Saccharomyces cerevisiae S288C: one gene and its partner. The protein of the gene in region 2 interacts with the protein of the main gene of each other region in a biochemical or structural test. Each region holds a gene or a part of one and is shown on either strand. Other genes may lie near its edges.

The links. Proteins that work in one complex are often made in the same cells at the same time.
Region 1: the proteins of BEM1 (region 2) and CDC42 form a complex in vitro, tested with the Saccharomyces cerevisiae proteins (3 studies listed by BioGRID).

The regions. Positions count from the first base shown.
Region 1 is NC_001144.5:603,583-606,559, forward strand, and holds CDC42 (Rho family GTPase CDC42), read right to left. Parts: upstream 1,206-2,977; coding exon 630-1,205; downstream 1-629. Other genes in the region: BNA5 (kynureninase), read right to left, coding at 2,176-2,977. UniProt on the Saccharomyces cerevisiae protein: Involved in development of cell polarity during the cell division cycle, and essential for bud emergence. Affects signaling in the pheromone-response pathway through the STE20 protein kinase.
Region 2 is NC_001134.8:618,953-622,714, reverse strand, and holds BEM1 (phosphatidylinositol-3-phosphate-binding protein BEM1), read right to left. Parts: upstream 1,844-3,762; coding exon 188-1,843; downstream 1-187. Other genes in the region: KTR4 (putative mannosyltransferase), read right to left, coding at 2,412-3,762.

The DNA.
Region 1 (2,977 bases), on a different chromosome or scaffold from region 2:
ATGGGCTAGCTGCAAGAACAAAGAGACCAGAAAGCCTAGAATTAAATGCCAGAAAAATGGAAATTTATTCTAGACAAAAATTGTTCGGCACCTCTACAGACGTTTAACGAACCTGGTCCGGCCTTTGAGGCGATCAAAAAAAGGCCCATTTTTGTGTTCCGCGTAATTGGTTTGCGCCTTTCCATGGAGCTTGGTGGGCGACATTCTCAAACTGGTTTCCTGATACATCATGCACGCCCGTAAAGGGTTTAAGTATTGATTGCTAGCCTGAATGTTTCATATGCATACCGTGTCTATGCAACGAATATATTTCAGAAAAAAGCACGAAAGCCAAATTTTTGATGTTAAGAGGTGTTTTTGCCCGTAAACGGAGAAGACGTGGTAGGACTCGCAAATGTCGCGTTTAGCGTTGAAGAACATGGAAGTATTGAACGTTTGGGGCTTGACGGCTCGACTTTTTTGCACTACTCCGCCTTGAACAGACGGATGATCCTGGCGCAAGAAACAAAGAGAATCAACTCTGAGCAAAGCGAAAAAATGAAATACAACGATAATAAAAGGATAGGAAGGTGTATATATAAGTTAATTTTAGATATAGATTAAGAAAAGATGGGCATATACTAATATGACTACAAAATTGCACATTTTTTACTTTTCTTGATAACAGGAGGCTCCAAGGCGGCCACGATAGCTTCATCGAATACATTCTTCAAACCGCGTTGTGTTAGTGCCGAACACTCGACATATTTTACTGCTTTCAGTTCTCTTGCTAACCTGGAACCTTGTTCTGATGTAATCGGACGTAATCTTTGTCTTTGCAACTTCTCGATGATTACCTTGTCATCCCTTAGATCAATCTGCGTACCGACGACCAGGCATGGTACACCTGGACAATGGTGATGTACTTCAGGGAACCATTTTTCTTTAACGTTTTCAAAAGAGGGTGGGGAAATAACACTGAAACAAACCAAAAATACATCAGTAGAAGGATATGACAAGGGTCTCAATCGATCGTAATCTTCTTGACCGGCCGTATCAAACAAACCTAACGTATATGGTTCATCACCAATCATCACAGTCACCGCATAGTTATCGAACACTGTTGGAACATAGTCGGCTGGAAATTGATTCGTTGTATAGGAGATTAGAAGGCACGTTTTCCCAACAGCACCATCACCGACAACAACACACTTTAGCGTTTGCATTTTGTGGAAGAGCTAATACGTTTATTTCTTGTTTTATAAGTTTTGCTTCTCTAATTCGTTTGTTAACCTATCTCCTCAGGAAAATAGAATAGTATAATAAATAACGAATATAATTTTTTGCGACAAAGGAAACCTATTGCAAAAAGTGAAGAATGACAGAGAAGGATAATCAGTATATCTCGGTACACCTGGAACCTATTTATCAAAACGCTGCTCTTGCCTTTTCCAAGAATCGCGTCTATCATCGATCAATCAACCTTGTTTGCTTTTTTTTATCACTTTTTCCCGTATCTTGTTTCATTTGGAAGGGCCCAATGGAAGCAGTATTACCCGTATTGAATGACCCTTGAATCGACGGTGGAAGACATCTTTAATGCGATGTTTAGAAGACAATGTGCCGTATTTACCTGTATATGTGGATTATCTAACAGTCTACAATACAAAATTAGGTGTAACGTAGCTACAACAGTTGATAGAAATAATGCAACTTTTTTTAAAAAAAAAAGAGAAAGTGCTCGAGGTGGGGATTGAACCCACGACGGTCGCGTTGCTTTTAAAGGCCTGTTTGAAAGGTCTTTGGCACAGAAACTTCGGAAACCGAATGTTGCTATAAGCACGAAGCTCTAACCACTGAGCTACACGAGCATTTTCGAAAGAGACGTAAATTAAATTGTTATTTATACCGTAGATGATTGTTTTTCACGAAATTACCCTTTTGAGTTCCGGCTTGTTTCGTTCAACAGTACTACCACTGATAAGTTAGCTTCATTATTGGAAGAAGGTTGATAAATGAAAGAAGATTCACGACTATGCACGGCAACTGGTAAGTAATACACGGGCCCAGATATTTATTTTAATTCTTGGAAAGAAAGTATAAATTTATAGGTTCGCTATCAGTAAGTATACGAATTTCAAACTACGTCATATATAATATCCAAAAGAAGATGAAGGCGATGCGGTCACTCTAGGACTACAACTTATCCATCGCCTCATTTAGTGCATTCACCGCAATGTATACATCTGAAAATGTATTATATAAGGGAGCAGGAGCCAATCTAATTACGTTTGGTCTTCTTGCATCGCCAATGACACCATGGTCATGCAAATATTGGAAAACTTTGGGCATAATATCCTCTTTTCCAGTGTCAGAATCGAAGTAAAGTGACAATTGGGCGCCATGTTCTTCATCTGTGCTTGTTGGAGTTAATATTGTAAAAAAACATGGTAATTTCTCGATCCTTAAAGGGTGTTTGTAATACTTGGAGGCTTCCAACAGTTCCGTCATATAGTTCGTCAGCAACAACGATCTTTTACGAACTTCATTAATACCATTAAACTTCGCAAATAATTCCAATGAACTTCTCAATGCCACTGTGTCAATAACGCTTGGATTAGATTGCCTGAATCCCAATGCTCCTGGAATCGGCTCGAATACTTCCAGCATTTGAAATCGCTTAGCAGGATCATTGCCCCACCAACCAGCTAATCTTGGCAAACTTTCCTTAGCAGGGTCTGGTTTAGTATGCTTCGAGTGGACAAATAAGCCACCAATTCCACCAGGCCCGGCATTCAAGTACTTGTAAGAACACCAACAGGCAAAGTCAACACCCCAATCATGAAGTTGCAATGGGACGTTCCCTACAGCGTGTGCTAAATCCCATCCAACCAATATGTCGGGGAATTGGTGGGCAAATGAGGTGATTCGGCCAATATCGAAATATTGCCCCGTGTAATACTGAACACCTGACAAACAGACCAGCGCCAATTCATCT
Region 2 (3,762 bases):
TACATATATGTCCTTATTTATTTTTATTACAAATCACGCTGTTTCGGAAGAATTGGATACCTTAATATTATTACTGTTCGGGAGAATCTTATTACTCTCGCAAATCATCATAAAGTTGATTAAAATGTTCAACCTATGTGCATCTGCCAAGTAAAGAAGAAAAATGCTTCGTCTTCTAACACTAGATTCAAATATCGTGAACGGAAATTTTCAGTTTGGCTTGGATTATGTTACTGACTTGTGAATCAGTCTTAATTTCCTCCCCGCTACCATCAAATAATTTGGTTTGTAATTTAAAATTATCTGTATCAATCCTTGGAGCGATTTTACTACGAAGTTCTTTATAGGTTGTGTCACCCTTCAGCATTAAAGCAAAAATATCGTCTTTGTAATAAAATTTAATTTTAGTAGTTTTCAATCCAGAAGTTGATTGGGCTGGAGCCTGCTTGGAGCCCGATAAAGATAAATCTGAGAGTTTCTTGTTTAACTTCAAGTCTTCGCCAGTTAAAGTGTTGTCTTGGTTAGTTGAGGCAAAATTAGAAGTTTGAGATGCTGTTGCAAAGGTTGCTGTATCGTTTTCTTGTAATGTTTTAATATTGTTTTGATTTTCGTCTCTTTCAAATTCTCTGTCGAAACCATTATTCAAAACAACGAATAAGGAATGCACCATTTCTGAGCGAGATATATAATCGGGAAGATTCACTAGGTCTGCCACATATATATTCAAGTCCTCCTTTCTTTTTTTTGTTATGCTATTGGTAACGTATGGAACGGGTCCAGGGATATAGGGCATTATACGTTTGGACCATTGTCCACCTGCATCCCTCAACTTACCGGCCTCTGCTGGGAACGCATCCAAAAGTTGAACCTGCAGATCGTAGAAATCTTGATAGTATCTTTTCAGTTGCCTCGTCTTACCGTTAGATAATTCACAGCAAACCAAAAACCAATACTTCTCATCTTCTAACCCAAAGGATTCAACGGATGCTTTCACTAATAATTCACCGTCAACCAGCTTTGCGCTTTTGTTCTGAGGTTTTGTAATGGATTGCTGCTGCTGCTGCTCCACAGAACCAAGGCTAATATTACTAGCTTTGTATCTTGCAATGTTGCTTTTCCATTCTTGAACAGTTGGTAGGTTAACTGACTTGATGTCTTCTATTACGTCGTTACCTGTTGCGTACCCCGTGGCAATATCTATGATGCTAACAAACCCAACAGGAACAAGGCCGGGCCCTCCAAGTCGACCAATTGGCTTAGCAATGAACCATTCACAGTTATGGTGGGCGCAAATAAACAAATTCTCTCCCACATAAGTTGTCAACTCATCAGCTTTTTCTGCCTTAAAGTCATATAAAACAATGGCGTATAACGATCCCATGTTTAATGAATCATTTGTAACCTTCCGACTTGAACTATTGGATCCATTCACAGAGGAAGGTTTAGTTCTATCAAACACTTCAAAATAGGTTTTGGGGACAACACCCTCTTTTCCAGTAGAAGGATTTGAAGCTTTATACCAATCCTTCTCATCTCCAGATACATAAAAAAATTCACCTTCCATGAAAGATAGTTCCTTTGAAGTTTGTGCCTGATAACTGTATTTGGCTTTTATAACTTTCTCTGGAGAAGTAATATCTTTAGAATTATGTCTGTTTTTTGGTGAAGAGTCCCGTTGGCTTTTCACTGGGGTGGAAGATGAAGAAAGGTACCTCACTGGTACTGTCTTAATATGCTTTATAACACTCCCATTATCATGAGAAGGTGTGGAAATATCTGCGGATGTAATTCTGCCCTTCGACCCATTACTATCTCTTTTTGAGAGTTTGAAGTTTTTCAGCATTTATATGGCTTTCTTGACAATTTCTTTTCACACAGTGCTTTCAACGTGCATCCATATGGGTTTAGTATATTAGTGAAAACATATGCTGATTAAGATGGTACATCAAATTATGGCTGTATTGTCACTTTCTTTTTTTCCTGTTCGTAAATGAATGGGGCCCTTCGCCATTTGTCCGTTTAGGGTAATATTAGTTAAGAAGCCGTTAAGGCCCGGGAAGAATGTCGAATAACAATAGATAAGAGATATTGTAAAGTTTTTGGATTTCGGTTTACCATATTGTATTGAAATGATTGAAAATATAACGACATTATAATTCCATATTATCAAGTGACATTTTTGAGGAGTAGCTTTCTCAAACCAATAATACCTTCAACAATACTATCTACTGGCTGAGAAACATTTCATTTTCCATGAATGTTCACCTGTAACATTTTTAGGTTGCTACATTATAAACTTTTCTTAATTCCATAATATATATCTATCTATGTGCGTCCTAAATTAAATCATAAAACCCCAGATGTGATGCCGTTCTCGAAAGCAGCGGCACAAATTCTCAAAGCTAATGTCTTCAATACATTTCTAACTCTTCCTCAGACATAGAGTGTCTTATCCAGGTTGCCTGGCAATTTTGGTTGTCTAGATCACTCCAAGGAGTGAATTTGCCTGGTACACAATTTCCATTACACCTATCTGAATCTGCTGGACAAGTTGGACAGTTCGTGTACGGAGTATGGTGATAACCTATATCCCTGAACCAATGGATGCTTGACTTATCCGCAAATAAAGCAAGTGCCAAACTTCTTACAGGGGCATCACCCCACCTTTCATAGTAGAATCCTCCCTTTTCTTCAAGATATTGCATATATTTTTCATAAGGTTCTGACCTCAAAAAGTCTAAATCGACTATTTCAAAATTGGTCCAGAAATGACAAGTTGAATACCCTTGAGTATAATCATAATTTTTTGGATTTTGAGAGTTATCTTTTAGCCATGCGAAGGCTCCGTTGACGTTCAAATAGTTTGGGTGTTCCTCGACAAAATCCATAGTTGAAGTCCATAGCGTTTCGATGGTTTGCGGACTATCATAGAGGTTCAAAACAAACCCATAAATCTTGTCATTCTTGTTCATAAATTGGAAAACGTCATAGTTAATTTTGCAATAGAAATTCACGTTTGGCTCTAATCTCCACACATATTTATATTTAGATAGCAGAGGATGATGGTAAAATTCTTTAGAATAGAAACGACACATGTTATGATAGGATTCCACCTCTGCATACTGAATGTTCTCTTTACTCATTTTGTCCATTTCTTGGTCGTATCTCTCCCTATCTATGCTATCAGGCATATTCCAGTTATCTGGACCAATAGTGCCAAATTCTACTACACGGTCCTTAGGAAGAATACTTTTTATTCCATCTTTGAATTCGTCAGTAAATTCCTCATCGTTAAGGAAGGTATAGGGATATCCAAAATTCTTATTGTACTCCTCTTCTAGCTGTTGAATAGAAGAAATTATATCCTCTAAATCAGAATTTCTCACCAAACTCAAAATAGTTCCTTTTGCCTTGCCGGCTAACGGATCCCCGCTACGTACCAAATTGTCCACCTTTGGCTCAGAAATTTCTTGAAGTAAAAACTCCTCGTACAACTGTTTATTTTCAGCAAGGACTTCATTCGGGTCAAAAGTGTCCTTTTCATAAAGGGGCTCGTGTAGCCTGTCCATTATGCTATCTAACACCTCAGCATCATGATCAGGAAGTTCATCAGCGCTTTCAGTTTTACCTGTAATACTTTTGTAGCTCTCCCGGAGAGAAGCATACTGGGACTTGGCACTATCCTTGACTGCTTGCAAATAGTTCTCATTCGCCGTTAAAAAGTAAAGAACAACGGTTACGGCAATCGATATTAGAATGATC